Linked DNA regions of Arabidopsis thaliana. The protein of the gene in region 2 interacts with the protein of the main gene of each other region in a pairwise test. Each region holds a gene or a part of one and is shown on either strand. Other genes may lie near its edges. The genes, in order: GAI, KNAT3, BLH3 and BLH5.

Region 1 (8,144 bases), on a different chromosome or scaffold from region 2:
TCATTGAAATTTGTTAAGAGACACTTTTTTCACTATTTCAAAAAGACTCAAACAATCTTGTAAACCCAAGTTATTCTTCCTTTTTTTTTTTGTTCCAAAAATGCCTAGTATTTCAAGAATTCAGTAATCCAATTTTACTTGTTTAAAATTGGCTTGTTTATGTAATTAACATATATCACGACTTGTATTACTTCTTTAGAAAAAATAATGTTTGGACTAAAAAGCAGACTAAATATTCATTACGAATGATGTGACACCATTTTCATTTGTTAGCTTCTACTACTATAAAAAATAAATAAAGGAATCAATGAGTGCACCTTTAATTTTTTTGGTTAATCAACGAGAGCACTTGATATCAAGTATGACGATAACCAATCAAAGTAAAAAACTTTGGATGTCTTTTTCTCTTTGCTAGTAAATTAATAATTATACCTACCGAATTTGTAACACATTACACATTGACATGGTGCATGTTTAATCCAATACTATCGACGTCACTCTATACTCCGTAAGTAATAGTATATATACATTGAAATGATCCATTATACCATCTGATAAATTTTTGTGAAGTGGCTAAAAATATAAACAGTTTTTTTTTTTTTGTGAGAAAATGATGTAACGGAGCATAATTATTCGTGGAACACAAGAACATGTAACCAACCATGTAGCACAGCGTTAATTGAGATGGTCCATACGAAGAGCCGTCAACGGTGGGAATGGTCATCTCAATTCTCATCAGGGCCTAGCGTATAAAAATACTTTAGAGACGTGTAATAATCACATGGGATCTTTGGGACCACAGTCTAAATGGCGTACGGTAAGTTCAAGGGACCCGTTTTACACGTGGACCCAATCACATGTTGTCAGTTCTGATTTTCACGAAAATAATTTCGAATATTTTTGTAAGACATTAATTAGTGGGACTAATTGTTATTTTCTGATCTGTGTAATCTTATTATGATTTAAGAATAGTTGCCGTAAGCGACGGCGTTAAGTACATACTACAATTGTATTAACCAATTTTATCTACAAATAGCAAAAAAAATCGAGACTATACTTTAAAAAGAAACGATTACAACTTAACTCTATCGTAACATGTAATTGACAAAATAGTGAATGCTATTTAAGTGTAAAGACTGAATGCTACTATTTGATAATTACTGTTATTTTGAAATGGGTTTATATATACTGCAGTTTACTTTTCTACCCCCTTGCTCGAAACATGCCTACATTATTACAAAGGGGAAGGCTAGGGCACTCAAACAGTATGATGAAAGCTTTTAGTTCCCCATCCAAAGAACAAATATAAAAGTCTTTTGTAATTAATGAAAATGTTACTAGTTCTTATCCACTCTTACAGATAAATACTAATAAGGTTTAATTTTTTTTTTAAAGATCTTATAAAAAATGTTAGAAAAGGAGCTTTTTCTTATATTCAATTTAAATTTTTTAACAATTTAAAACTAAAACGGGAAAACGTCATAGTCCCTCAATCTCTTTTTAATAAAATGGAATATTAATTTCCATAATGGGTTTAATGATGGTTTACTTTTCCCAATACAAAAGTTCCATTTTATTTAATAAGACTATACTAAATACTTAAACTTTTTAATAAAAAATATCTGTATTTTAGATCAAAAGTTACAATCACACAAAACCAACACAACAAACTCCTTAAAAAAGCGACAAAAAGTAAATTGTACCACTAGTTGCATGACAATCTTTTTAGTTGTTCAAAATTGTATGACCATCTAAACTCTAAAGTAATACTAACTTTAGAAAATATTAATCTGTAAAAAGCTATATATTCCCTAATATATTAGTTTATTAATTTCAATATATTCCCTAATTACAAATTTTGGTGTGTGTGTGATTTTCAGCCTTATCTCTTTGAGCTGTAGATGTTGCTGTTAGCCCTCTGATCCATGATTCATCGGACATCGAGCCCCATCACGAGCCTTTTTATTCTCAACAATAATAATCATTTTTTTTCTTATAACCTTCCTCTCTATTTTTACAATTTATTTTGTTATTAGAAGTGGTAGTGGAGTGAAAAAACAAATCCTAAGCAGTCCTAACCGATCCCCGAAGCTAAAGATTCTTCACCTTCCCAAATAAAGCAAAACCTAGATCCGACATTGAAGGAAAAACCTTTTAGATCCATCTCTGAAAAAAAACCAACCATGAAGAGAGATCATCATCATCATCATCATCAAGATAAGAAGACTATGATGATGAATGAAGAAGACGACGGTAACGGCATGGATGAGCTTCTAGCTGTTCTTGGTTACAAGGTTAGGTCATCCGAAATGGCTGATGTTGCTCAGAAACTCGAGCAGCTTGAAGTTATGATGTCTAATGTTCAAGAAGACGATCTTTCTCAACTCGCTACTGAGACTGTTCACTATAATCCGGCGGAGCTTTACACGTGGCTTGATTCTATGCTCACCGACCTTAATCCTCCGTCGTCTAACGCCGAGTACGATCTTAAAGCTATTCCCGGTGACGCGATTCTCAATCAGTTCGCTATCGATTCGGCTTCTTCGTCTAACCAAGGCGGCGGAGGAGATACGTATACTACAAACAAGCGGTTGAAATGCTCAAACGGCGTCGTGGAAACCACTACAGCGACGGCTGAGTCAACTCGGCATGTTGTCCTGGTTGACTCGCAGGAGAACGGTGTGCGTCTCGTTCACGCGCTTTTGGCTTGCGCTGAAGCTGTTCAGAAAGAGAATCTGACTGTAGCGGAAGCTCTGGTGAAGCAAATCGGATTCTTAGCCGTTTCTCAAATCGGAGCGATGAGAAAAGTCGCTACTTACTTCGCCGAAGCTCTCGCGCGGCGGATTTACCGTCTCTCTCCGTCGCAGAGTCCAATCGACCACTCTCTCTCCGATACTCTTCAGATGCACTTCTACGAGACTTGTCCTTATCTCAAGTTCGCTCACTTCACGGCGAATCAAGCGATTCTCGAAGCTTTTCAAGGGAAGAAAAGAGTTCATGTCATTGATTTCTCTATGAGTCAAGGTCTTCAATGGCCGGCGCTTATGCAGGCTCTTGCGCTTCGACCTGGTGGTCCTCCTGTTTTCCGGTTAACCGGAATTGGTCCACCGGCACCGGATAATTTCGATTATCTTCATGAAGTTGGGTGTAAGCTGGCTCATTTAGCTGAGGCGATTCACGTTGAGTTTGAGTACAGAGGATTTGTGGCTAACACTTTAGCTGATCTTGATGCTTCGATGCTTGAGCTTAGACCAAGTGAGATTGAATCTGTTGCGGTTAACTCTGTTTTCGAGCTTCACAAGCTCTTGGGACGACCTGGTGCGATCGATAAGGTTCTTGGTGTGGTGAATCAGATTAAACCGGAGATTTTCACTGTGGTTGAGCAGGAATCGAACCATAATAGTCCGATTTTCTTAGATCGGTTTACTGAGTCGTTGCATTATTACTCGACGTTGTTTGACTCGTTGGAAGGTGTACCGAGTGGTCAAGACAAGGTCATGTCGGAGGTTTACTTGGGTAAACAGATCTGCAACGTTGTGGCTTGTGATGGACCTGACCGAGTTGAGCGTCATGAAACGTTGAGTCAGTGGAGGAACCGGTTCGGGTCTGCTGGGTTTGCGGCTGCACATATTGGTTCGAATGCGTTTAAGCAAGCGAGTATGCTTTTGGCTCTGTTCAACGGCGGTGAGGGTTATCGGGTGGAGGAGAGTGACGGCTGTCTCATGTTGGGTTGGCACACACGACCGCTCATAGCCACCTCGGCTTGGAAACTCTCCACCAATTAGATGGTGGCTCAATGAATTGATCTGTTGAACCGGTTATGATGATAGATTTCCGACCGAAGCCAAACTAAATCCTACTGTTTTTCCCTTTGTCACTTGTTAAGATCTTATCTTTCATTATATTAGGTAATTGAAAAATTTTAATCTCGCTTTGGAGAGTTTTTTTTTTTTGCATGTGACATTGGAGGGTAAATTGGATAGGCAGAAATAGAAGTATGTGTTACCAAGTATGTGCAATTGGTTGAAATAAAATCATCTTGAGTGTCACCATCTATAAAATTCATTGTAATGACTAATGAGCCTGATTAAACTGTCTCTTATGATAATGTGCTGATTCTCATGAATATGCTCTTTTAATGTGCATGGTATTATAGGTGGACCAGATTATTTTAACAATGCTAAGTCGTTTTCAGTTTTCTTATTTGTTAATTTGAAAGAAGAAAAGTAAACAAAAGAAACCGAAAAGATACAAATGTCCACCTTTAATACATGTATCTGAAAGATATAGTAGGCGATTATATATGTCACCTAAAAAAAAAAAAGAGTAGGCGGATTATATTGTTCAACATCAACTGCACATAAATAATTCCACATATGTAAAAATGGGAGATGTTGATGTTCTTCGTAAATAAAAGACTGAAGTTTTTTTTTTTTTTTTTTGACAGCAATTGAAGTTGGTTTACGAACTTGTTTAAGAGATAAAAAAACATTCGACAGTGGTGGTAGTAGACTAGACTTCACTCGTGACCCTTTGGTATTATATAGTTGAGTGACTGTGACATTTGATCCTTTGTGATGTATAAAAAGGGCACGAGGGCGGTTTGATGGTTGATTATAGTCAACTTTTGCTACCCCACATATATGGGCCGAATAAGTGCTAATGGGCCTTAGTAAAAATCCCAAAACAAGTAGAAATGGTTCAGAAAAAAAGATAGCAACTTTGAGGTGGGAATTGGTCAATTGGCAAAACAGAGGGTTCTAAAATCTAGGGTTTATACGTTCTATAGAAGGGAGAGGAGGAGACGTGAGAGTCTTTAGGCGGAAAAATATATTTGCATATTTACTTTTGTATGTGTTTGATTTTGTTTCAGAATTATGGATATTTTGGATTTTGGTTAATCAATCTCTCTCCCCTCGTGAAAAACTTTCTTTATCTATTTTGATGAAATTTTTATTAGGAGATGGATAATGAGAGTCATGAGACTAAATGACTAACATACATCCGCTTTATATCTTACACAAAATCGTATAACTAACACACTTATTTTATTACGAACACGCATAATAACATCACAGACAGAGATGGTATACATAAGCATACAATACAATTGCTTAACAAGACCGCCATTATTATTAGCATAACATGTAAAGGCGGATGATAAAGGCACTTACGAGACAAGTACAAAAGACACATGCATGAGGATGATTTACGACGATGACCATGGAGGGTTATTAAGCTTTGTTCTGGCCCTTGAGGATGTGGTCATCCATATCAGCAACTAAGCTCTTGACAAACTTCATGTAGTTGATGGGTTCGGGGGAGTCTTCGTTGCGATTCTCCCATATCAGAGTGACTTTGCAGACGCAGCCTTCGTTCGACTTGGGAATGAACTGTAAGATAACCTCATACTTCTTGTACTTCTCCATCACATGACCCTCTAGTCCTCTGAACGTCAACGCCATCTTCTCGTCGTCTATCTCTCTTTTCTCCTTGATGACTTCCGGCTTCCCATCTTCATACACACACACACATTTTTAGTCCACATTAGAATATATAGATATCATCCAATCCTCGCGTGTTACCAAACACAGAAAGAGATAGAGTAAAGTATGGACCAAGTGTGTAGTTCCAGGATTTGATGGAGCCGTGGGAGTCCCAGTCGCCATCGTGGACGGTGACGCCTTGGACATGGTGGCCGATGGCGTCCGGGAAGAGATTGTTTTGGCTCCTCCATCGCCTGTAGTGTTTCTCCGCCGACCCTTTCAGCGGTACTTCCGCCACGTATTTTCCTGACATCGCCATTTCTTGATTGATTGTTTTCTTTTGAAATGTGTCAAGTGTTTTATTCGATGGAAAAACCCAAGTGTTGCGCTTCCTTTATATACAAATTAAGACTCACCACAACACTAACAAGAAACGAAATTATGGCGATAAAGATTTAATTATAGGTGGTTTATATCTTTTAAACTATAAGATAAAGATTTCATTCGTTTAACATTTGCTAAATCCTGAATATGAAATGCTTAGTCCATCCGTACCATTTTAAGTGACTTTTAACCAAATAATTGTTTTATTTTAAGTGAAAGTTAAAGAAATGTATACGTAAGGATAGTTTGTAAGCGCTTGAATATAAGGTTTGAATTGGTTGGAATATGTCATTATTAATAGATAACACATAACAGATTATTAACTGGATAAAAAGAAGCAAGAAAAGTAGGGCGAAATAGACGGGCAAGAGGGTTTTGCGTTATTTAATGACCATAGATGTCATAGTGATATGCTCCACATGTGTATCCCATGTGTCGTCATGTCCAAATTACCTCACACTTATAGATTCTTTGAACCTATTTTTGTTTTGTTTTGACACAAGCACCCTTTTATGTTATAACCATCGACTTAAGAAGTATCTTTAATTTACATAAAATATGAATATATAACAACTGAAAACTGTCCTTCAATTAGATACGAAACGTGTCCATCAAAATTAGTTATGCATATATTGATATTCCCACATATGAATCAATGTTGGAATTGGATTGATCCGAGTTTATGATAAAATGTGGGATTAATGATTATCCAATATATATTAGTATTTTGTATATAATATAATTAAGAATATATGTAGAGTGTTCAGGTTTTATAAGTTTTTTAGTACGTATTAGAATAATCTATTTAGGGTATCTATGTTTAGTTTATTCTTTCTTTGTAAAAGCTGCAGATTGTTATAGATTTCTAAATTTCAGTCTTTACTTGGTTATCTTTTTTTGGTCATATCGTTCGTACTTCTTAATTATCACACCCACATGCATGAATATTTCAATATTCCCCTTTTTTAGTTAAAAGACTTTACGGTAAACGAGAATAATTTTTTTACGATCTTGTATAAGACGTTTATTATGACGATCATAGTGAATATGCATTTATGAGAATCTCAATGTGATATATGAAAAGAAAAGGAAACCTAGTATTAAACATTAGCACTGCATGGTAGGGATCATATTGTTTCCATGAAGACTACTTTGAGATGAATTAGTCACTTCGTTGAGATGAAACGTTATAATTATACCAACTTCATAGTGTTGCGAGTCCAATCATCAAACAAATTAAGGAGTGATCGCATAAATCACATTGAGATTCTCATAAATGCACATCCAAAAATTATACAAGAGATGATAAGGTTGGAGCAAAATTAAATTGTCAATTGATCTGCTTCTTGAAAAGGTTACCTATTTTAGTGAAGATACTTATGTGATAGATAATGACGATTGAGGGTATATATATACATCCTAATATTATGGGCTATTTTACGTCTTACAATTACTATTTTATTACGAACACACACTTACACCACGAAAACATCATAACAACATGTAATCATCAAACAGAGATGATACATAGGCTTCCAAGACCGCCATTATTATTAGCATAACATGTATAAAGGGGGAAAGAGGCGGATGATAAGTCACGTACGTACGTAAAGATACACAAAAGATACACACACATAAAGATGAAGACCATTCGACGATGACCATAGAGGGGATTCAAGCTTTGTTCTGGCCATTGAGGACGTGGTCGTCCATGTCAGCAACTAAGCTCTTGACAAACTTCATGTAGTTGATGGGTTCGGGGGAGTTTTCGTTGCGCTTTTCCCATATGAGAGTGATTTTGCAGACGCAGCCTTCCTTCGACTTGGGAATGAACTGGTAGATAACCTCATACTTCTTGTACTTCTCCATCGCTTGACCCTCTAGCCCTTTCAACGTCAACGCCATCTTTTCGTCGTCTATCTCTCTCTTCTCCTTGAAGACTTCCGGCTTTCCATCTTCATACAAACACACACACACACAATGCTAGACCAAATTAGCCGATCGTCAATCCTCGTATTACCAAACATGATTAAAGAGAGTGGACACCCGGTGTCGGTAGCCCTACTTTGAAACTCTTGGAGGAGAGTTTGAGAAGGTTCGAGGCCTAGCTACCAACATCTGGGAGAGGACTTATCTACCTTATTCCTTGGCCCCAAAAAATATATGGACCAAAAATCTAAAACTACCAAAATACTACAAAAAAAGAGAGAAGGTAAAGTAGAGACCGCATGTGATATTCCATGATCTGATGGAGCCGTGGGAGTCCCAGTCACC
Region 2 (8,226 bases):
AAATATAAAATTTCACACTTTAGGCATGATGTACCTTATTGATCACAACAACAATAGGGAGATGATCCTGGATTGCATGCCGTATAGCTCTCTCTGTGTTTACCTGAAAAAAGATTAATAGCGTTAGTACTACAAATAGTATACTTGAAAAAAGAGAGAGTAAAGACTAGTTACCATGACTCCTTGAGCAGCATCAACAATGAAAACAGCACCATCAGCAAGTCTTAAAGAAGCAGTCATTTCGTCAGAGAAATTGACATTTCCAGGTGTATCCATGATATTGCACAGGTATGATTTGGATCTACTGTCCTCAAGGACAAGAGACATTGGAACCGCCTTGATAGATATATTTCTCTCCTGCTCATCGACTCTTGTGTCCGTATATCTCATATGCTTGTCGTTTTCAGCATTAAAAGTAGACATACGATGCGTCTGCTCTACCAACATATCCATGAAGACAGTTTTGCCGTGCTGGAGATGCCCCACAAGAGCAACATTCCTCACAAGCGCAGGATTAGACATGAGGCCGATAAGAAACAGTGTTGACACATACGTTGTTGTTTGATCCTTGATGACCCCCACCTCAAATCTAATATCTCTAACGGGTTTGATAATGGGTTGCTCAAGAGACTGCTCATCTTCATCCATAACCAAGGTCTCAACATCCTCACCATAAACCTCCTTAGCAATAGGGTAGTACTTCTTATCCTCAGGAAGAACAATATTTTGGTTCTCATTGATAGTGGTAATCCAGCCATTAGAACCCCCAGGCTCTTGGAGATCTTCATCTTCTACACTATCATCACTATCTCTGTCAGATTCAATCTCAGGTCCAATATAGTTACCACACTCACCATACAAGCTACCATCCATCTTTATGTCACCTGTCAAAAAGGAATCTCATGAACTAGCAATCAGAATTTTGTAACGGCCAAATCAAGCACAAAATGTCAGAGACGAACCGGTGGGGCGAGAGAGCGAGAGGCGGTGCGAAAGCTAGAGGAAAATGCGGGTTGGCTCCGTGATAGGGTTTGTCGCCACTGTTTCTGCTATGTGAACGGAGTCGTCGTCGGAAGATTTAAATAGGTCTTTGATTCAAAATAGCGCATTTTTAGATTGATGGGCCAGGTCCAATATCTGTCAATCGGCCCAATTTTGTAAATTGAAACGTCTAAAGTGTAAACCAGAACGTAAACCGGGTTGTATATTGAAAGCTGCAATTTGAAGAAGAAACAAAGCATAACAAGATGGTGGTGGTTATAATGATTACATGAAGACAGTTCTTTACCCTACAGTTGGTAAAAGACCTAATTTGGCTTCTCTAGTTGGTGGGTGATAACGGTAAACTTTTGAATATCACTGTGAAGCATCGTCCAAGAGACCAAAACTCCGATTATTATTTGAATTTAGAAGACTAACACATACTAATGTTAGACTTCGTTTATCAAACCATTTATACAATCCAAATGACAATTCTCTAAGTTAACAACTTTGATGTTCATTACAAAACTACTTATATGAATCTACTTTCCTAGATTTAATCTAATGTACTAATGGGCTTCTCATGAGACTAGTCTTTGAACTTTGTATGGTCCTCTAATAGAGAGGCGACCAAAATACTTAAGGACACTCTAATTATCTTTGTTAATGTGTGCAGAATCTCTCCGTGATCGATAGAAAAATCTCGCCGAAAACTTACAGTAACTTGTGGCTATCACAAACGTGACAAACGAAACAACAAGATGAGGATAAACAAACAATTTTGACTAGAAAAAAGAACACGTTTCAAATTATTACAATTACAAAAGTACGCAGCAAGCTACGTTATGTAAGATGGGGTATGTTTTATTTTTTGTCGTCATCTACCATGTATAATGTCTTTTACTTATCAAGCCAATATCACGAGTTGGAATGTGACATCGCAATAAATACTACGAACTAAGCGGATAAGAATCATAAGATGGGTTAAGTACGGTTAATGCGAAACATATACTGTATAATAGTCACATAGATTAAGCTAACCAAGTGGTGCGATACAAATTAACATATGCACCTGGTCAATGCGTAACATATACTAGTAGATTAAGAAAACTTGTGCATCCCAATGTTCTCCTCTCTCACTATCTTTATTCACAAGATATATTATGGATGATGATGATGATTATCTGATGGTTCATAAAAAAAAAACTCATGCAGACAAACAAACAAAAAACATTAAACAAAAGCCTGCATCTTCAGTTTTCATATTTTCTTTTTGGTTTGTGTGCTACTTAATAAAATATATGGGCATAATCACATAACCAAACTACGTTACTATGTAATTGCACAAAAAGTTACTTTCTAATACTGTCCCCTCTCTCTGTATAATCCAAACTCCTCCATAAAATTCTCAACTTTAAATCCCTAAAACCCTGCTTTCAAATCCCATCTTCCACCTCCCCAATTCACATCATATGTTTGTTGTTTCTACGCGAACCGCTCTCTTCCGCTATTGTCACCTGCATTGCTTTCATCAGACAAACAAAAGTTTCAGTCTTCTTTGAGTCCGATCCATAAGTTTTTCGGTTATGTTACAAGACTATATTAAAGTATAATAATACCTTTTGCGTTTGTTCTTCAATACAGTGGAAGAAGATGGATTGCTATGCCAGTTCCTCTTTCTCTGATTGATGAACCAATTGTTTATCTGTTTTAGCTGCAAACCTGTCTCTTGCACCAACCTCGCCTTATCTTCCTCCTACAAACCAATATTTGGTTATGGCTCAATGAATGAACTTGAAGAAGTTATAAAGAGATGTTAGATGAGTGAACTCACAGTAGGGTAAGGCCATTTGGAATGAGATTGCCACCAAGCTTTGAGAACAGAGGTGGTATCTCCTGGTAACTTCCCAGCTCTTCTCTTCCTTAATATCTCCTCTCTTATGTCTACTATCTTCTCCTTGTAACCCTTTTCATCAACAAGACAAAGCCCTCTACATTGTTAGTTCATGAACTAGTTCAAAGAACAAGTTTGTTGATTATTACCTGTTTGAGTTCATGTTTAAGTTCTTGTCTAACTCTTTCCATCAACGACCTCTCACTCTCAGTAGGAATCAAAGGACCAAAACCCAACACATCTAATCCCCCATCGAACATATTAGCATCACTCTCTACTTGTTCATCTTCATCGTCAGACATTGTTGCTCCCATCCCTTCTCCAGGAGACACTCCTAATCTCACCAATAAAACACAAAACTTGTCAATGTCATAAAACTAACTATTGGATTCATGAGCTAATCACAGGATTCATTTTCTCACCTGTTAAGCTTTGAAGAGACTGCTCAATCTCCCAACAAGCCATCACAGCTTCCATTGCATGAACACGCACATGTTGTTGCAATTGCTCTTTAAATGAACACAGTAGCAACACATAATGTGTCTACACCATAAAAAAAACATTAATCAAACACACAATAAACACAAAGAACAAAATTTGTATTTTCTTCATCATCATGACCATTATTATATCATAAGCTCTTTTTTTGGGATTTTAGTCTTGTTTATCCCTAAAAACACAAATCTTGATTTTAATATTTTAAGATTTCAAAAATCAAGAAACCTAAGTCGGTGTGTATTATTAAAATTTGTGCTAAGTATAATTATGAAATCGTTAATTATAAAATTATAGAACAAAAAAATCTGAAATTTATATACCATGAACTGGTCAAGTTCTTTATCGTCGCCGACGAGACCTTGAGCGGCGGCGCCTAAAGCTGAGTATTTAGCGACGACGTGTTGAGACTGAGCAAGCTGAGCATCGATTCTCGGAAGCTGATCAACCGGAGTCGCGATTCTCAAACAAGCAACGTGCGCCGACAAAAGCTGCTCGTAAAGAGGATGCGAAAGGATCTCCGCCTTGTGTCTCGCATTCTGCCAGCTCACTACTCCATCCGCCGCCGTAGCTCCTCCGCCGTCGTTTTTGTTTTCTCCACCGCCGGTTTTCATCTCTCCCTGAATCATAGTGTCTGCTCCTCCGGTGACATCATCGATCCCATCTCCGACTATGGAAGCGTTGTTGTTGTTGTTTCGTTGGAGGAAAGAGGAGGAGCGAGATAGCCACTGGTTAGCAGCGGCGGCGGCGGCGGCGGAGGAAGGAGAATCGGAGCTGCTTGCGGTTGTGGTGTTAGCGGTGGCTGTGTGGAGGTTGAGGAAGTTATTGTTGTTATCTGAGGAACGAAGAAGCGCTGTGTTTAACCAATTAGGAGGCGGTGCTTCTTGGAAATGTTGTTGCTGTTGCGGAGGAGGAGGAGGCGGTTGCGGAGGTGGAGGTTGGTGTTGGTCGGTGAAATGATTGAAGGAGAGGTCTTGTGAGAGATGATTGTGATGAAACGCCATCGTTTTGGTTTGACCTTTTTTTTTTTGTTCTTTTTGAATTTTGTTTCCTGTTTCTGAGAGGGAAAGATAAAGAAAGAAGGTGAATCTCTGCTGCTTCTATGACGACGATTGTTTCATATGTTTCAATTATCACCAAAAAAAAAAAAAAAGACACAGAAACTTTTCTTAAAATTGGAAAATAATTGGTTTTTGTGGTGTGTATGTATGTATCTGAGTATATATGTGTGGGTGTGTTCAGAGTTGCACAGAGCTGAGAGATCGAGAGATGACCATTTATTCTCATATTTATTCTTTCTTATTTTTTGCAACCTATTTATCAATATAATTGAATTATTATATGGAATTTATTAGATAAAAAAATATTCCTTCTCTATTCCTTATTATTTAATTTTTTAGAGGAAAAAAATTGTTTTAAAAAAAATAATTTTTAAATTTTCTATACATTATTTATTAGTTATTATTGATAAATTTTTAATTTTAAGATAAATAATTGAATATCATTGGTTTAGAATTATAAAAAAATATAAATCACAAAAGATAATATGTTTATAATTAGTTTTAATATGTTTTTTAATATATGTGTTTTTTTAGAAAATTAATTTAAAAAAAAAAACTGAAAGATAGTAAAAACAAAACATTTTTTTAAAAATCGCTTATGAGAACTTTTATTTGTTAAATATTTTTCTAAATGCTAATTAAAAAGTAAGACAAAAATTGATTTTTTTTGTTAAAGAAAACAAAAATTGATTTTTTTTGTTAAAGAAGACAAAAATTGATGTCACCTCGTATAATCAAATCAACTGATAAAATCTTTTTTGATTTAACTAAGAATTTGTAAACTTTCTTCTATAGTGATATTATTATTGGGGGAAAGATAAAAATCCGACATCATAAATTAACCATAGAAAGCAAAAGTATTTAATAAATCAGTACGCTACATAATAAACAGTGCATTTGAGAAAATAAGATAATTTAGTTATGGTTGACAAAAATGTATTTTTTTTTCTTTTCCAATCACTTTGGTCCACATAGACCTAAGAAAGAATAAATATAAAAGTAAGTGACTAATGAAACAACAAATAGAAGATTAGGTCACGACAGAAAATTAATTAAAGAAAGTAGGTCGTCATGGTTCGATCTATGTCGTTAAATTTTAGTGGCGACTGTATTTATTAAGATCTGACGGCTGCGAAAGGTCGTTGCCTTCTTCGACTGTGTTTGATTTTTTTTATTGTTGGGAATAATAAATGTATTTTTCCTTTTTAAAAAGAGTTGCTACGTGTTGTGTTTTAAGACGCAACGTATCTATGATATGAAGAAGCGCGTGCGTTTCACGTTCAGATGTTAGTGTAATTTTATGGCACTATGAAACAAATTTAACTTATTTATTTATACAATTATTTTTTGCTTCACGCCTTTACCTATTATAAATCCTTCTCGTTTTATGTAATGAAGTTACGAGAAATTATTGAAAACAAAAAATTTAATCATGAATTTAAAGTTACAATTTTAGGTTAAAGATTTGAAATAAAACAATCTTTTAAGAATTTATTTATATGGATTTAAAAGACCTAAGTACCAGAAAACAAATTAGCTTATTTGTTTATGCACACTATTTTTTTGCTTCACCCTTTCACCTTTTTAAAATAATAATAATCATTTCATATAATATAATTTGAGAAATCACTGGTTCTTTAAAATCACATAATTTTCTGAAATCACAGTTTTTGGTAAATATAATTTTTAGATTTTTTTTGGAGTGAAAATTTTCGTACATGCTACGAAACAGAAATTTGGTATAAAATTTGATGGTAGTATATTCGATCGTCACAATAAAAGTTATCGTATATTTTTTTATTTATTTGAGTTTGGTTAAAAACTTAAACGATCAATTAATTTAGAGATTTAAACTTAATTGTGATGAATAGCGTCCTTTTGGTAAATTTTTAGCATTTAATAAGAAGTGAGACGCAAATAGGTCTAGGTTAACTCATACTATAAATGTGTGTTAACATAGTCACATATATAACTTCATCTTTGGGCTGGTTCTTATATTATCAAAACCGTTTTTATTTAGGATTTGAATGGTTATGGCGGTTGGGGCGGATAAAACCGTCAACGGATCATACCGTTTTTTATTTATTATTTATTAATTATAGTTCGTAGTGATCTAAAAAAAATAGAAGAAAACCGCAACGGACCATCTGCAGACCATTTTTACATACAAATAAACTTGGTCTGCAACGGTTTTTTGTCTGCCAGATAAACTAAACCGCAAACAAATTATACCGGTTTGTCCACACTGCATCCATCCAAAGTCTTATTTTCAAGAAACCACTTCATCAAATGTGTCCAATCATTACATAAATCAATTTATTTTATTCACAATAGTTATGAATGTCGAGCCACATGTCATCTTACTCAACCAAAAAAACGCCGAAGTTGTCCCAAACTACACGTGTGAAACGCTGAATTTTAAACATGCACGATCATACATTACATATTATATAATTTTAGTATAATGTATGTCCATGTAGGAAAGTTTACAAAAATAAAAATTTATATAGTTTTAATCTTTTCGATTCATCATATCTCCGATTTTAATATGTACGATAGTAAAAGTAATTAGATATTCTAGATCAATGATGAAATCAACAGTTGAAGTACAATTTTCCTAGTTAGAAAAATATAGAAATTTTCTTGATGTGTATAATTGTAATTACTGATGATAACACATGTAAGTTTTATATGGTGAATTTCATCTCTCTATAATTGAATAACACATAAGTTTTTTTATATTCTCTCACATCTTTCTAAAACAAGGCATTATAGTTTCACAATCCAAAATATTTTGTGCCGACGACAAGTATGTTTAATTTTCTTGGTACCCACTACAGTTTCTTCTAATATCGATCATCATTTTTTGAGTGATGTTTACGTCCTTCTATTGATTTATATTAATTCTAGTCAGAAATGGTTTTATTATTGAAATATTCTCCATCATCTACTGAATATTCCTACAAGTGAGTCATACTTAGGTTTATTGAGTTATTTGGATGCAAATGGATAGTAACCGGAAAACTAATAAACAATCCCTAAACAATAAGCAACCCACAAATCTAAAGCGACGCGATACGTAACAACCCCCGTAAATGTTGGAGCGTGATTTCCACGTCACTCCGAGGAGCGTCAGAAAATCATAATCAGCTAAAATAAAAGATATTCATAAATTAAATTAAATCAATTGCTTGTCGTAATAACATTTTTATTTGTAATGTAAATTTTATTTTCAACTAATCATTCACTAGTATTTATAATTATAAGAGATGAATAATTTAACATGAGAAATACAAAAACAAAAAGAAGAAGATAACTCAAATCAAATACTAAAAACTACATAAGAATGAAAGAAAAAACAACGAAGTGTGTATGTGAAGAACAACATCAACAAAAAGGAGAAGTATTGATTGAAGTCGAAAAAAGAACCAATCAACTTCGAAGATTTCTTATCTCTTAATCACTTTTGACATCCCTCTCTAACCTTTTTAATTTTGTCATACACTAATACCCATTTGTTTTCTTTATGATTTCCCAAAAATCTTTACTTGTTTTTCTCTCCTATATCATCACTAAAATACTATCCGTTTATAACTAACAAATCAATATATGCAATATTGATGAACAATTTTAGAAACTACGTTCCCCTCCACATACCCATAATAAGTCCATAACTTAAGGTTATACACTTATGCTTAACTTTTTCTTTCTTTTTTGGTAGACAACTCAAGGTTTTAGTTAACCACGAAAAATAATTTTACATGAAAAACTAAATTATGTTATAAGAATCGAACC
Region 3 (8,777 bases), on a different chromosome or scaffold from region 2:
AAAGCTTGCTAGTTTTCATGATCTCTTCACGGTGTTGAGTAGATATAGTTGACATAGGGATTTTTAAGTTGAACGTTAATGACTATATTCCTTTTTGTCACCAAGAACCATGTTATTGTAATGAATTAGTCTTGCGTATCGTATTCCTGCTGTGTCTTATGTTATGCTTTTCTGTGCGGCAGGTTCATCCTTGGCAAGCAGTGATCTCATTGAGGTGAGATGATCGACTTGACTCTAGTGTTCCTCTCGTGGAAGCTTTCTTTTCTTTCCTTCGGTGTATCTTTAACCCTTGTTGGATCTTCATTGTTTCAGGTGAAGAACTTAGTTGACTCACCTGGAATTGTCCCTTCAGCTCAATCGAAGCCTTTGTTCTCCACGCCTTCTCTTCCCAATCCAGTTAGTGATCTTTCATCGGCTCACACGCGTTTGCTTCCTCCTAAATCCACACCATCAAGACGGGCTCGGCGTTCACCTGGGCATCAGTTGTTTAGGCAGGTTTCTGATAGTCAAATTTTAGGACTGAAATCCCCAATTAATAATTACTCAATCTCAGAAGGAAGGTCGTCCTTTGTGCTTTCGACCTGTAGCAATGACTTCGCCACTGGATCCCAGTACGCATCTTCTGAAGGTGGCTGGTCTATGAACACTTTTTCTGAGCTCGTGGCATATTCTCAAAGGGATAGATGGTCCTTTGATAGCGAACACTTGGGTTCTGGCAGACGGAAACTAAGTGGTGGTAGCAGCAGATTCTCATTCTCCCCTTCCGTTGTTGATCAGCAGGTTTGTGGAGCTTGTTCAAAGTTGCTAACCGAGAGGTCTTCTATAGCCACTTTTGAGCTCCCAATCGCTGCTGTTCTTGCCTGTGGTCATGTTTACCACGCAGAGTGCTTAGAGACCATGACTACTGATATAGAGAAGTATGATCCTGCTTGTCCCATATGCACAATTGGGGAGAAACGGGTTGCGAAAATAACAAGGAAAGCCCTAAAAGCGGAGGCGGAAGCAAAGGCAAAGCAGTACAAAAGATGTAAAAACCGTGTGGTAGATAGTTACGGTGAGAGTGAATGCGATGAGTTTGTATTCCAGAAAATGGGGAAACGAGAAGGCAAAGCTCTCAAGCTGGAAGCTAGTTGCAGTAGCAAGAGCTCGTCTAATAAGTCATTCTTGAAATGGCACTTTGCTTCTATCAGCTCCAAGTGGAATAAACCCTCGTCCAAAGACTCTGCATTGAAGAAGGGATTCTGGTCTAGACATCGAAATAACCGGTCTTCTTCAAGCATAGAGGTAAAGATCCATACACTGAATATTCAATCCTGATTTGCTAGAGAAATGAAACATTCCTGTAAATAACCAATAATACACACATTTCAGGGACTTAATCAGACATCTCCGCTATGATGAAACCCCTCCATCTGGATCAGAGGCATGCGGGTTATTTAGGAAAGCTTTGTATAAAACAGATATTCAGGTTCAGCTATAGCCTTTAGAGCTGTGTTTTAACTTTCTTTTTGGATATTTTGTGTGTTTCATTGTAACCTGTGGGGATAATTTTCAGTAATGAAACAAACTTGTCATTTTAGAAAAGATTTGAGAATTTGCCAACCATTTACAGAGAATGTTTAAAAAGTTGTGTAACGTTTCGTTGTTTACACAAGTTTCAGAGGAACTCAAAATCTGTTCCAATTCTTGTAACAAAATGAGGAAATTAGATCAAATCTTTTTCAGTTTGTTCACACTTAAAAGTATTGTTTATACCATCATGAAGATTATAAACAAAAACATTACAATATCGGCTTACCAAAGTGTACACAAAGCTCAATTTTCATATACAAATGTAAAGTCTAACACCTAAAGTTTTCACAAAATCTATCCTTTATATATGCCACAACAAATATTACAGATATACATATTTGTATAACCCCTATCTATAAAAATGCCAAGAGCGCATTTTCTTGCGCTTCAAGAATCATACTCCCCCAATCAACTGGCATTGCCAGTTCTTAAGCTTGTGAAAAGCTCAGGAATCTTTTAGACAACAAAGTCGTGTAATTGATGGGGATTAGAATATCTGCCATCTTGTTGGTTTCCAAGGCCAACGTAACGATTGTAATCATCAATACCAAACCCATGATAGTTCATCAAGCTGTCGTAATCTCCAGTAGTAGCACGGTCTGGTTTAGGATCTGCAAAGACTAGGTTTTGTTCTGCATCAGATGTATATGGGATGTTGTTGTTGTTGTTTCCCTGATTCTGTTGTTGCGAAGACGAAGAGTCTTCGTGTTTGAGCTGAGATGTTTCCTGCATTTTTTTGGTGTCTTGATTAGAGTTAGAGAGTAACTCTGCTGATTCTCCAAACTCTTCTTTATACATCTCTTCAATCATTGGTTTCCATAGTCGAACTCTCGCGTTAATAAACCAATTTGCAACCTAAATTGCCAAGAATCAGAATACCACTCATATAAAAGCAAGACCAAAGATTGAGCCAATAAGAACCTGGTTTTTCGATAGTCCTGTCTGCTTTGAAAGCATGATTTTCTCTGATTCTTTAGGATATCTACAAAAACGATTGAAATGGTTATCAATGAAGCAATGAGGAGCAGAAAGAAAGTGTCTTACAAACAACAAACTTACGGATGAAGGAAATGCTCAAAGAGCCAAGCTCGAAGTATAGAGACAGAGTTTTCAGGTAAGCCTCTTTGTGGTCTCCAAGCTGGTCTAACCATTCCAAGTTGTTGATGCAAAGCTCTCTGTTGTCTCAACCGTTGATCTAAGTACCTAAGACGCGGTATCCTCTCTCCTTGTTCATCAGAAGTCTCTCTCTCCCCAAGCTTCCCTCTGATCACCTGAATCTGTTCTTTTATCGCGTCGCGTAAACAGCGGAAATGGCGAGAGATTCTATTCAGAGCTACGGATGTGTAAGGCTTAGCTGCTCCAAGACCTGTTACCATCTCGAAAGACGATGCTAAAGCTTCCATTTGATGATGGTATTGGTTATACCTTTTATCTACCTGCAAAAATGTTTTCAAAACTCAAAACTCCAAAGTCTCTCTCTCACTTTAAAGTATTCAAATTTGATTTAGTCTTACCTCATCCACCATTGTTAAAAGCTTGCTCTTCTTGCTCTGTAGCTCCTGACGTTCTGAAGGAGACAACTCCTGCGATTGAGATTTATCATCTTCTGTAATGTTATCACTAGACCCATTGTGAAAGTCTTGACCTTTATCATTCTTCATCTTCTTATTCCCCAATTTCAAATCTTTCCTTACACTAACAACTTCATCAAGCAATTGTTGTGTTGGTTTAAGGTAACGAGATCTCAGTACACTACTCACAAACCCTGATGTCTCGTAACGGTAATTGTTGTAGAATCCAACACCATTATTACCATTGTTGTTGTAAACAGAGGAAGGTAAAATTTGATCAGAGTGATGCTGATGAACACTCAAGCTCTTCCCATTCTCATCAGACATAGTAGAAGGATTAAGATTATTGTAACTCAATTGGTTCGAAAGATTCTGGTAATGATACTGAAACGGAGAAACAGAGACAGCTGACTGGATCTGATTACCAAGACTTAAAGAAAGTCCTCCACCGTGAAAGCTTAGATCGTTACTTGACACCGTTACGTTTCCGTTGACGGCTACGTCGCTTGTTGGTGGGATAAATACCATCTCGTTGTTTCGAACATCACCGGAAACAATCTCGGAGAAAGATGCAGCAGAGGAAGAAGAAGCTTGTTGTTGTTGTTGTTGTTGTTCGTTGAGGTAAATGGATTCTTGGTAAAGAGATTGCATGCCGACACTATTAGGGTAATACACAGCCATTGGATAATAAATCGAAAGTGTTTTGTTGTTTAAGTGAGTTTCATCCGATTGATGTTTTGTCTGAAAAAAGAGAAAGAGAGAGAGAGAGACGTGTGAGTTTGAAACTGAAACTGGATAAATAAAAGAACAATTCTTTAAAGAGGTTAAAACATCTTAATCTCTATATACGCCGCAATTACAGATGAATTCAAGAAATGAAAAAAATATGAAATACTCAATTTAGGTCAAGAAGATATCAAAACCCTAGGTAAAGTTTCCACTTCAATTCAGTGACGCAAACAAAAACAGAGGATGATGTTTGAAATCATGAAAGATATAAAGTTAATTTTTTTTAAGTTCTGATGATTTCATACTTTTGTAAGAATTTAACAGAGACGAAGATGATGATAAAATTCGAAAAAGGAAATCTTTTTGTAAAAAGAGAAACAGAGTACAACAAGTCAATCATATAGCTTTGAATCAAGAAGCTACTAATAAGAACAATCGAATTATTATAGTTAAAGAAATGAAACCTGAGAAAGAGCTAGATGATAAACTATACAAAAGAGAAAGAGAGATTGTGGATGTGGCTGAATCAGGGAACAGAGAGATAAAAAGGGAGAAGAAGAAGAACTTCGAACAGTCGATGACAAAAAGAGAGAGAAAGAAAGAGAAGACACCCAATCCCAAGAGACGATTTTTATTAAATTCCGATACTATTTTAAAACTTTATTTGGCATTCACTAACAAAGAACAGAACCAAACCATCTTATCATTGGAACCTCGACAACAAACCCAGATTTTTTAATTAATGTTTAATAAAATATCAGTGTATCACTAACCTATGGAGAAATTTGACAATCTCTATTCTCTACCAGTAATTCTTTTTTGTTTGTTTTTCTATTCCAACCGAAGCTTCTATATTAAAATTAATAATTTTTTGTTGGTTTTTTTTCTGTGCCAACCATTTAGAGAATAACACGCGTGAGCGGAAATTTTCATATTTTTTTTCCTTTTCTCTGATAGGATTATTGTTAGATAATGGAGAATATTTATACAAATGCGACTTTTTATATGCATTTATATTTCAAGTTATCTGATAAAACAAAAGAATATTATTGGAACCAGAAGGAATACTGTGCAGTGTTGTCATTGACTTGACTTGGTGCTTATATTCAAATAAATATAATTAAAAATAAAGTATGTTTTTTAAAATGAAGAAAAGAGTTGAGTTTTCGTATTCTATGTTTTTATAAAGTTTAATTAATAGCTTGGACATAAATTCAAGCAACCGTTGAAATTTTTTACTATTAAAATTTTCCACCAAAGCTTTGTTAGATTAAATTAACTCAAGCAATCTCAAATTAGTTGTGGTTGTGATGATAAAATCATGGGTTAGTCTGAACCAACAGATGCTTTTATTAATTTCTTTACATAATTGCAGATCCCTGGTTATAAGCGAACGAGAAACATGTGTTACGTGACATGATACTTCATAACTAATCTATGATGTTTTGATGTATAATTGTTAAATTATTATAACGACGGAACTCTCTAAAAAGATTGTGATCAAAATTAAAATTAAACATCTTTTGAGGTCTCCTACTGTTTATACGTTATATACTTGTTTCTTCGCGTAATACATTGGACACACATACTCTTATTAAGTGACGTGCAAAAGAGGAAACTAATTAACTCCATTTTTTCAATATCTTCCTATTATTTACATATTAAAAATAAAGATATAAGTAGAATTGTCAACAAATCAATATATTGAATATAAAGTAATTAAAATTACTAAAGTATCCCTAGGCCTAGAGAATTTTGATTTGCCAGAAATGTTGCTTTGAGGAAGAAGTGTTGTGTCTGCTCAATTGCTTAATTGAGGGATTAAAGGACCTTAACAACCAGTTGGTGACTACCCAATTTCCTTACTTGGAACGAAAAAATCCAATTAGTTGACTAACAAATAAACATATTTTCTTAAATAATCAAGTGATTCATTTGACCTACATGAAGAAAATGTATTTATACGCAAAACAATAAAATGAAAAGAAAAGTTATGATGGGTCGATTCCATGTCCCAAAGGATCTAAGGAGGTTGTGTAATAAATAATAGAAAAAGTAGAATTCGAAAGAAGATGATGAAAAATGAAATAAATAAGGTAGCTGTGTCGGACGCGAAGTTGGTGAAAGTGGCCAAAAACGAAAGACTTGGACGCCAATTTGTTTCGTAGAGACGTTCCTTAACGGAACGAAGCTAACGGCTTTGTGTCCATCTTAATAAATGTTATTCTTATTTCAATTTCTGTATATTTCGTTTATTTCTTTTATTCTTTAATGTTTTTTTTTGTTTTTGGTTGAGTTTCGGTTTTGTCATAGATTGGAACAGCCGACACAAACCTTTCAAGGAGAATCAATGTGTTACAACAAATTCTTTTTTTATGAAATTTTATATATTTATGAGTAGATTATTTGTTTGTTTTTAAATGTACAACTGATAAACCCTACACACAGCTGGTTGAATATGGGAGTATATACAGTGGGAAAGTTTGAAAGGATCAAATATTTTTAACTTTCTAAAATAGGTTAAATGAATGTGGTTTTCTAAAGCTATTTATGATGAGTATTCTTATGAATAATAATATTATACATATCGTGAGTATATAATTTGAAGAAGATGATGAATCGATGATGAGTGATGATGATAGTGCTAAATGAGGAAATGACGAGTAAGAAATCAACAGCTTTTGTTTGGACAAAAAGCTTTTTGTACACCTAGCTATATGGTATGACAGCTAATAATAATTAATATCCTTAAGATATAATTAATCGCAGTTGTTAATCATAAATAGTCGGACCGTTTAACCACATGAGTTTTTCCTATTTTCAAGAGCAATCTGGTTAAACTACATGTAAATGGCAACAAAGTAAGAGTTTATGGTACGGTTAATTAGATGTTCCCAGGTAAATAGTAATACTACAGTTCACAGATTAATATGAGTTTTGCGTTACACTCAAGTCTCTATCTGTATAGCGTTTGAGAAATTATATATGCACGATCCACAATTTATGATCATAAATATTTTGTATTTAAACTAACAAGGGAAATATTGTTGTTCTTGCCATAAAGATTGATTCCACCAGTGAAAATACATTTTCAAAACATAAAATAACGTAGCACACAGTAAATTTTCAGTGCATGAGATGTGAAAGTCATTAGTATCTTAAACCTCATTAATCGTGATACAAACTAAAAGTGGAGACTGGAGTTTCTATGTTAATGAACATAATTGCCTTTTTAGAGCCCATAATAATATGCGGGTTTAAGTGGCCCAGAGGGATTAAAAACGGCAAGACGTTCTTCCAATAACGGCGTGCACTGTGAAACCTTTAAAGATCAAAATTTTCTTTCAAGGTTCTTCTCAGTATAACTCACTTTACAGTTCTACTCAGAGATCCAATTTCTTGCCCATTCTCGTCTCGAATTTGATTTTCAAAGGTTTGATTTTTGAGATCTTTAGCTTAGTTTCGACGAGTCATTTGCGAAGATCTAGACTATTGAAAACCTTAGGATGTGTCTTTAGCAAAGGAAAACAATGGTCAAAGCGTCGACGATGCAAAGGAAGAGATGGGCACTGATGGTTTTGTTGTTTCTATCTGTATCAACAGTGTGTATGATTCTCGTGAGATCTAGCTTTGAAACCTGTAGCATTAGTAGCCAATTCGTGGAAGAAAAGAATGGAGAAAGCAGCGCCGCGAAGTTTCAATCGAATCCTCTAGATTTCATGAAATCGAAGCTCGTTTTGTTAGTATCCCACGAGCTATCACTCTCAGGTTCTGCTGATTTGATTTCTAATTTGATCTGGGTTCTCGAAAAAATCATACTTTTTTGAGGTGATGATTGATTTTGTGTGACAAAAGGTGGACCTTTGCTATTGATGGAATTGGCGTTTTTGTTAAGAGGAGTTGGTGCTGACGTTGTTTGGATCACTAATCAAAAGCCACTTGAAGATGATGAAGTTGTCTATAGTCTTGAACACAAGATGTTGGATCGAGGAGTTCAGGTTCTCTCGTAGTTCCTACCAATAGACTTCAGAGTTTGTTGGAAAGATGTTGTCTTGAGCTCTGTTAATTGACAAGTTCTTATTTTTGGTATCTGACTTCAGGTTATCTCTGCAAAGGGTCAGAAAGCTGTAGATACATCTCTCAAGGCTGATTTGATTGTTCTTAATACTGCTGTGGCTGGGAAATGGCTTGATGCTGTTCTAAAAGAAAATGTTGTTAAAGTTCTACCTAAGATCCTATGGTGGATTCATGAGATGAGAGGACACTATTTCAATGCTGATTTGGTCAAACACCTCCCCTTTGTTGCAGGGGCCATGATTGATTCGCATGCAACAGCTGGATACTGGAAAAACAGAACACAAGCTCGCCTAGGGTATGTTTCCTCTTTGCACCTCCTGCTTCATGTGAATGATATACAGAAAACTAAGATATTTGTGTATAGTCTTGCCTCATTTCAGCTGGATTCACCTGTTTTTTCTTCTTAAAGATTAACATTGTTTTATGACTATTGATATACAGGATTAAAATGCCCAAAACTTACGTTGTGCACCTAGGAAATAGCAAGGAATTGATGGAAGTAGCTGAAGATAGTGTTGCCAAGAGAGTTCTCCGTGAGCACGTCCGAGAATCTCTTGGAGTGCGGAATGAAGACTTACTCTTTGGCATTATTAATAGTATGCCATCATTTTTTTAAGTCTTTCTTTTTCTCTGTTTTCTGACGAGCATCATCATCTTTTAAGGAGTAAGAGTTCACGCGTCACCAATGAATTTACTTTAAGTTTGTTACTATTTCCAGGTGTATCGCGTGGAAAAGGCCAGGATCTGTTCCTCCGAGCCTTCCACGAAAGTCTTGAAAGAATCAAAGAGAAGAAACTTCAGGTACCAACAATGCATGCAGTAGTAGTA
Region 4 (8,099 bases), on a different chromosome or scaffold from region 2:
CACAGCCTAGAGACAATTACACTTCTGCTTGCTTTAAAGGTAGTTTAAAGAGAACTATATTAATGCTCTCTTTTCAGGTATTATTAACGCTTAATAAGAAATGCTATAACGCTCTATAATTGACACTGCAGGTTGAATACCAACATAACGTACACCTGATTCGTGGAAATCATGAAGCTGCCGACATTAATGCACTTTTTGGTTTCCGGATAGAGTGTATTGAGCGAATGGTAGTGTCTCATCTCTGTGAATCTCTTGCTCCACTTTTAGGGTCTCATGTCATGGCTACTTTGCAGGGTGAACGTGATGGGATCTGGGTGTGGCATCGAATAAACCGTTTATTCAATTGGCTACCTCTGGCTGCACTGATTGAGAAGAAAATCATCTGTATGCATGGGGGAATTGGTCGGTCGATAAATCATGTGGAGCAGATAGAAAATATCCAACGTCCAATTACGATGGAAGCAGGCTCAATTGTACTTATGGATTTATTATGGTAAGTTCATGTCTAATGCTGTATCATTCTATGTTGTTTCCGTGATCCTTGTCTCACTAGTATGTCATCTTGTAATCTGTTAGGTCGGATCCAACTGAAAATGACAGTGTCGAAGGTTTAAGGCCCAATGCTAGAGGCCCTGGGTTGGTTACTTTTGGGGTGAGTGGTCTTTTTCTTCTATTTCGTACACTTTGCATTGATTACTGCTCTCTTTCCCTTCCCCTCCTCACCTCATACTCCATTACATCAGCTTGAGTGATCTTTTCTTTCCGCTCATTTTGAGCTTCCTAAGTGTGAAGAGTACTGATTTTGCTAGTCCCTTACCCTTGACATATTCATGGGCTGTTGTTAGACAATTATATTGAGTAATATAATTCTACTTCGCTTCCATAAGTAGTTCTGCCTGTTCTATTACTTACCAAGAATTTGACAACTGCAGCCTGACCGTGTCATGGAGTTTTGCAACAACAATGATCTGCAATTGATTGTACGTGCGCATGAATGCGTGATGGACGGATTTGAGCGTTTTGCCCAAGGTCATTTGATAACGCTCTTTTCGGCAACAAATTATTGTGGTATGTTTATGGAACCGAGAACTCACTCCTAAGCTGGTAATAAGACCTGATCTGATAGTTTCTGACAAAAAATGATCTATATTTATTCCTTCTCAGGTACCGCAAACAATGCCGGGGCTATCTTGGTGTTGGGGAGAGATCTTGTGGTGGTTCCTAAGCTTATCCATCCATTGCCTCCAGCGATAACCTCACCTGAAACTTCACCAGAAAGACATATAGAGGATACATGGATGCAGGTTTTTATCTCAAACAGATACTAATGCCTTCCTTTTTCCACCTGGAAAATGGCGTAACTAAGCATTGATATTTTGCAGGAGTTAAACGTAAATAGACCACCAACACCAACAAGAGGACGCCCACAAAATCCAAATGACCGCGGCTCTCTTGCTTGGATATAAACCCTACAGAAAGAGTGACGAGTGCGAGATAACATACCTCTCCCGAGTCCTGACAGCCGCCTCTAGGTGATCCTCATGTTGTGTACAGAACCAACCAAACCATTCAATTATCGATTGCTATTTACCAACGAGATGGATCAATGAGGGTTTTGAGTTATCGAAGAATTTCACAGGTTAAGTTCATTCAAGTCAGATGATGAAAGGGTAAAGAATTTGTAGTAGTAGTGAGGAGGAAGAGTATTTGTTTTGTAAAAGGGGTTTTCTCATTTTTATTCATATATTTGATTTTCTTCACTTTGCTTTTTTTCTTAGTATTGATTATATATGTGGTATTGGACTTTTGGTGAGGGACACAAACAGGAGAGTGAGTAGGAGGAGGATTTTAGAGGTTGTTTTAGTTTTGGGGTATTTATGTATCATAGAGAGGTGTGTTTGGTCGTTTGTATAATGTCTTCATTCATATTTTTCAGTATGTAATTTGTAGCAACGGTTTGTGTGTTTAATGATACAGAAAATATTCTCTCCCATTTTTTCTATCATATTCTTATTTTACCATCATTTTTAAAACATTTCTGTATTTTGTTAGTTTGTAAAATAAAAAATAAAAAATTGGATATGGAAGACAAACAAAAAATCAACTCAAATAAATAAATCCATAACTTCTTGGTAGCCAATTAACTTGTGGTTAGGTCACTAAGATGATCATGTAAAACAACAAAATAATAATTATAGCTAATATATATTCATTGTTTTGTGGAACAAATTTTAGAAAAAAGACAGAAGAGGTGGGAGATTAAGTTAGGGTTTTTGGGGACATACACACACACACACACACATACACGTTCATAAAGTCACAACTATTAGCTAATATGGATCTCACGGTTGATCTGATCTTCATTTACACTCATACGTAACAATACTAACTAAAACCTGACTATCGAAAACCATATATATTTCTTTAGCTTAGTATTGTTATCTACATTTTTATCATAACCTTTACTTAATCATCTCCTCTCTATCAATCTACACACATCAACCCATACGAAACCATCCAAGGGCCAAAACTATACACAGAATATACGTAAGCAACAAGCAGAAAATATATCATCCCCACTAATTATTTCTAATCCATGATTTGATAAGTTGAAGATGAATATATGGCCGAGTTCTCAGTTCCATGACTTGTTGACTCAAAATGAATGTTATTAAAGGTTTGGTCACAAGAATGAGGCAGGCCGAGGGAAAGGGAGACGCTGTTTCCATCCATTGTGTGATAGTTTTCGAACCCTCCGTTGAAATTGATGAAGTTCGCTTGATTCATGTGTTGCTTCGTGAACCTCATGACTACGCTGCAACTTGAGGATGAATTTTGCCTAGGGGTTTCAGTTTCAGTGAATCCTTGACGAAAGGCGGGTAGGATCGTGTTCGAAGATTCATTTGAAGTTGTATTATTGTACGGTTGCTTTGAAGATGAACCTTTGGTACTATACCGGTCACTTCCTTTTCTGCTTTCTTCAATATCCATTTCTTCCGAATAAAGTTCCTCCACCAGTGGCTTCCACATTCGAACTCGAGCATTAATGAACCAATTTGACACCTACATCCATTTTACACAAGATACTATTAACAATACTTATTTTGATTATATATAATCATGGGTGCTAAAAGAAAGTATTCCATAATATATATAATTACTAATTTAACCAAAATAAATTTGATTTACTTTACAAAGGATCACATATATGATATTTCTCGTATGCTATCATCGCTATTTTCATTAAAATAATTATAATAAAATAAATATACATCATCTATCTAAATAAATTTACCAAAATATATTTGGTTTACCTGCTTTTCTTAGAATTCTTGGGTACGTTTTTGTTTTCAGACTCGAAAAGAAAAAAAAATAGAAATAAAGAGATATCTTTCTAAAAATATTTTTTTGATCGGAATAAAATTTGTTTGAATCTATATATATATTCGGTTTTACCTGTAGATTATTTATTCTTGATAGTCGGTGTTAGATGATGTCATGAAATTGTATATGTACTATGTATGAGACATCTAACATTAAGAAACTTAAGTATGTCCAACTTCTGATAATCGAAATCAATTACCTGACTCTTAGTAAGGCCAGTCTGTTTGGCAAGCATTACCTTATCCAAATCCCTCGGATATCTATACAAACCAAAACAAGACACAACTAAATCATTAGCATGCATGTCTATACAAAACTAAGTAATGATCCTAGCTTCCATATCCTTAGTTAGTTCCCTTTGCTTCAAGGTCCCATCATTCTGATATATCGACAATAATCGTAACAAGAATTAAAGATAGAAGAAAACGTTACTTACGGATGAAGAAAATGCTCAAAGAGCCAAGAGCGTAGAACGGAAACAGCTTTTTCGGGCAAACCTCTCTGCGGTCTCCAAGCATTTGAATGGTGATGTGCCATCTTTCCCAACTTCTTAAGCTGCTCGTCAAATTCCTTTTGTCCCAAGAGCTTGTTTATTTGCTTGATTTGCAAACTTATCATGTCTTTTACAGCACGAAACTGCTTTGATATTGTTTGTAACGCCATATGTGTGTATGAGTTTGCTGAGCCTAAACCCGCAGCTTGCTCAAACGATGAGATTATAGTCTGCATTTGGTCATGGTATTGCTTGTATCTCTGTTCCACCTGTGTATAATTTACCAAATTCATTTCCCAAATCAATTTACCAATCTTTGAAACCTTTATAAAGTATCAAATACTTAACATGCAATAACCAAATATATGGACTGAACTTGAGTCCCGATCTCAAAGTAACAGAAAGTTTATTGCCATTATATATATCACCATGGTTGGTTTGTATATACAAAGATCTTATTATTATTATTTGTGTATCACATATTATATAGGTAGGTATAAATAAGTTACCATTTCACCCATGGAGATGAGTTTTGCTTTCTTCATTTGCAAAGCAGCTACGCCAGGCTTATAGCCACCATTGATGTCCTCAACTCCATAAATCGTGGACTCTTTACTCACCGGTCGCTCTTGTTTTGCGCCGTGGCTACCGTTTCCAACATTGACAATCTCATTGAGTAATTCTTGAGCCGCTTTCAAGTAGATCGGAGCCAAAGCCCTGAAGACTCCTCCGTTTGAAAAAGTGGAGATGGAAGAATTTCCTTGTTCTATATGACCTACTTCATCTCGAGGTCTATATTGTTGGGAACCAAAGCACAAGTTGTAGAAGTGATCGTCATGAGCATTAGTGGTCGTTGTCTGCTCGCGAAACGGATTCAGAGTCATCATAAAAAGATCAGAAGAGTGTTCTCTCATTTCAGATTCTCCAAGAAAGAAAGCAGCCATTATTCTGACAATTAAGCAACAAAACTTGCAATTCAAGAAAATATCAAATTATAATATAAATCGATCTAAAACATTAATAATATCCAAGAGCTTAGGAAGAAAAGGTAAGCAAAAGATGATGAAATAAAGATGTGACAAATCAAGAAAATTAAATTACCGTTTTTATTTAATAATTAGAAATGATGAGCAGCAAATTATGGGTGTGAGTTTCTCATTGTCTTCTTCGACGTGTCTTTCTCTCTGCTTGCGATGATCATCTAAATATCCTCTGCTTCATTGATCTGTCAACTAGAAAGTCCAATAAGTCGCCTTTATAAATAAAATGTGATTGGACTTTTCATAAATGGGAAAAATATGTACTTTTTTCTTTTATATCTCATTGGACAACTAAACAGTGACACTCACGATTAATATTTTTCTTGTGATGTTTCGAAGTTCAATGGATTTTGACCAATCACCAATTCTAGCATACATGATATATGCACGGCATGCTACTGCTACATATCCAATATTTCTCACTTGCATCTTAGGCACGATTCACACCCAATATCCAACCTAGCTAAAAAATTTCAATGTGGTCGCAAATGTAGATCTACGAGACAATCTATCTAAGAATAAGTATAGCTACCATATATATATTTTTACGATCACACTTCTATCATTGTCATTCGTTTTACCATTTGTATACTATAGGTGAAATAAGATTTTAATTAATGGTTGTTGACGAGAAAAATATATTACAGATGGTAGTATTGTCTTATCATTTGATGTCCGCACGTTTAATATTTGGCAACGCATCTATATGATCCCTACATGAATAACTTAGTAGGTCAACATTTATTATTAGTATATTGTATTATTATTACTAAATTAAAATCTACAATGAATCTATGTATATGTGTATAGTTAAATGTATGTGAAAAGATAATAGAAGTGGGTCAGCAGAACCATGGAGATAGTTGAAGAACGAGGAAACGTCTACTTCCACTCCACACATCAAAAGTCTTCTTTTATGTATTTAGATAACCATATTAGTTTGCGACAAGTCACTCTTTTTCTTCTTTTCCACAACTAAACAACTAATTAACTGTATTGCAATGCAAATCTATGTTTAAAAATTTATCAGCCAAAATAAATAAAGTTTATTTGCCTGGTTCCGCCTTTATCTTCAAAATTTCCCTATTCCTTTCATATAGTTTTCTAAATCATATTTTCTCTTATGTTTTCTTTGTGTTGTCAGTACTTGTGTTTGAAGATAGTAATGGTACATTGGAAAATAGACCACATGGTCCACAATTCCCGGAAATTCATTACTCTTCGAATTAAGCATCCATCCATAGTTAAAACACATTTTGACATAGTAATGTATCTAGAAAATAATTTCGAATACTAATATAAAATTTGGATTTTATTAATAGATTACATTTAGACATTATTTTTTGGTGATGCCATTATCTGCCTGTATTCCTCGGAAAGCTTCCCATCACACACCGAAATAAAGCTAGACGTATCTTAATTGATATCGCGATATGTGTTGAGATCAATTTTTTTTCTATTATTGAATGTGATAATAACTATTTAGTTTGGTGGATTGAGACTGTGTATGAGAATTCATCGTGTCGGTCAGATCCAAGTTGTATTTATATCTTTCACTTTATGATAATAGTATTTTTCCTTTTTAGATCAATTAAGTATAATGCGACATTGCTATTTATTTACATTCGTGGATTTGTGTCAATTCGCCATTCGTCCCGAGAGTAAGTAACTGTAAAAACAAATAAGAAAAAGACAATGCAATACAACTTTAAAAAAGTGTGTTATAAAAGTTTAACTAGGATGAGGAAAGAAAGAAAAGTGAAGTGAAACAAACTGTATGTTAAAAGCCGAAACTAAATCCAGATTATATTTATAATATTTCTAATCGTCTTGAAAACAGCTTAGCAAACTATACGTTCTTTTTACTGTTTGGTTTTCAGCTGTTTAATGTTTGTTCGAATTTTTAAAAACGGCTTAGCAAACTATACGTTCTTTGTATAGACCAAGTGAATTTTTAGCTAGGTAATAAAAATGAGTTTTGAATATATTTAAAATTTTGATCTAGAGAATAATTTTATGCTTTTGTTTTCTCTGAAAGCTTATGACCTTTAGAATAAATTTCAAAACCAAAGTTTCTTTGATGATATTTGTGGTTGGTCCACAAAATATAGCACTAAAACTCAACTTTGGACACGATAACATTGAAAACATATTCTGTTGATTATATCATAAGGTAAGTGAAACAAAATACTGATGGGATATTAAGGGAATGACTTGGACATTCCACTAGGGTATTGAAAAAGTTGGGTTAGCATGAATTAATCTAAAGCCATGTTGGAATCAGAGAATGACAAGTGTATTCTTTACTTTGTCAAAACCATCATAACTGATCAAAGATCATCATTAAAACGTTAAGATTGAGTTATAAAGCTAATTAAAGCTTAAATTACTAATTAAAAGCGCCATTAGAGCAACGTAAAAAATAAAGTAAAAAGAAGTAGGTCTGAAAAAAGTAGCCATCTCGTGTGGACTGCATTATCATGCAACTTCTAATCTTAGTTAGCCATTATGGAAACAATTCATTACTTTGTCATCTTATAAGAACCTTTTGCGTATTGACTTATTGTTACTCAAATGATGTTTTAAGAGATTGAACATGATTCTTTTTAATCACTTGTCGTTTGCAAAACTTGAAGAGGTAAAATCTTTCTATAGTATTTTGCTCCTACTCTAATATTGTACGGTCACCCGACTGTGATAGAATCAATCCCAGACTCGTGGCTATCTCTAGATAAACTTTTTTTCCAAAATGACCATCTACTTGACACATTGCCCGAACTCAACTTTTTTCGTCATAGTCTCTAACCTCATAGTCTAATTGACACATCTACTTAGATTCTTTCCAAGCCCTAAACTCTTTCACAACGAAATTTATTTGATATCTAGTGAATCTAAACACTACTTCATTCCAAAATTTCTATAAAAACTGCATCACCAATGGGAATATTATGACCCTGTTATTACTTTTAATTTTAATTTGCATTACTTTTAATTTCATGCATTAGTTATCAAACTGGTCAATGACGATCCATGACCTATGGAATCTCTATTGTGAGGTAATTGATTGTGTCATCTGATAACGAGATATTGTCAGATAATCTCTAAGTTCCTCAAAGATCAAATCAACCAATCTTATAAAGTATGTCCCACGCAAAATGTGAGTAGTCATCTACTTATTG

Evidence for each region.
Region 1: the proteins of KNAT3 (region 2) and GAI interact in binary tests that used the Arabidopsis thaliana proteins (3 or more experiments, as listed by UniProt).
Region 3: the proteins of KNAT3 (region 2) and BLH3 interact in binary tests that used the Arabidopsis thaliana proteins (3 or more experiments, as listed by UniProt).
Region 4: the proteins of KNAT3 (region 2) and BLH5 interact in binary tests that used the Arabidopsis thaliana proteins (3 or more experiments, as listed by UniProt).

The regions. Positions count from the first base shown.
Region 1 is NC_003070.9:5,147,231-5,155,374, forward strand, and holds GAI (GRAS family transcription factor family protein), read left to right. Parts: upstream 1-1,751; 5' UTR 1,752-2,183; coding exon 2,184-3,785; 3' UTR 3,786-4,185; downstream 4,186-8,144. Other genes in the region: AT1G14930 (Polyketide cyclase/dehydrase and lipid transport superfamily protein), read right to left, coding at 5,235-5,515, 5,619-5,805; AT1G14940 (Polyketide cyclase/dehydrase and lipid transport superfamily protein), read right to left, coding at 7,545-7,825, 8,096-8,144. UniProt on the Arabidopsis thaliana protein: Transcriptional regulator that acts as a repressor of the gibberellin (GA) signaling pathway. Transcription coactivator of the zinc finger transcription factors GAF1/IDD2 and ENY/IDD1 in regulation of gibberellin homeostasis and signaling.
Region 2 is NC_003076.8:8,732,356-8,740,581, reverse strand, and holds KNAT3 (homeobox protein knotted-1-like 3), read right to left. Parts: upstream 4,639-8,226; 5' UTR 4,375-4,638; coding exon 3,694-4,374; intron 3,419-3,693; coding exon 3,298-3,418; intron 3,210-3,297; coding exon 3,025-3,209; intron 2,948-3,024; coding exon 2,816-2,947; intron 2,738-2,815; coding exon 2,601-2,737; intron 2,507-2,600; coding exon 2,467-2,506; 3' UTR 1,981-2,466; downstream 1-1,980. Other genes in the region: AT5G25230 (Ribosomal protein S5/Elongation factor G/III/V family protein), read right to left, coding at 35-103, 175-873.
Region 3 is NC_003070.9:28,298,067-28,306,843, forward strand, and holds BLH3 (BEL1-like homeodomain 3), read right to left. Parts: upstream 4,663-8,777; 5' UTR 4,337-4,662; exon of another isoform or gene 3,885-4,336; 5' UTR 3,825-3,884; coding exon 3,087-3,824; intron 3,009-3,086; coding exon 2,632-3,008; intron 2,555-2,631; coding exon 2,494-2,554; coding exon of another isoform or gene 2,455-2,493; exon of another isoform or gene 2,428-2,454; coding exon 2,029-2,427; 3' UTR 1,720-2,028; downstream 1-1,719. Other genes in the region: AT1G75400 (RING/U-box superfamily protein), read left to right, coding at 183-214, 313-1,284, 1,372-1,398; AT1G75420 (UDP-Glycosyltransferase superfamily protein), read left to right, coding at 7,403-7,640, 7,728-7,870, 7,973-8,244, 8,391-8,545, 8,668-8,777. UniProt on the Arabidopsis thaliana protein: Transcription factor that is responsive of the nuclear import of SHOOT MERISTEMLESS (STM).
Region 4 is NC_003071.7:11,634,714-11,642,812, forward strand, and holds BLH5 (BEL1-like homeodomain 5), read right to left. Parts: upstream 4,825-8,099; coding exon 4,390-4,824; intron 4,204-4,389; coding exon 3,824-4,203; intron 3,648-3,823; coding exon 3,587-3,647; intron 3,067-3,586; coding exon 2,593-3,066; 3' UTR 2,393-2,592; downstream 1-2,392. Other genes in the region: BSL3 (BRI1 suppressor 1 (BSU1)-like 3), read left to right, coding at 1-39, 132-230, 297-496, 580-655, 936-1,071, 1,168-1,307, 1,386-1,469.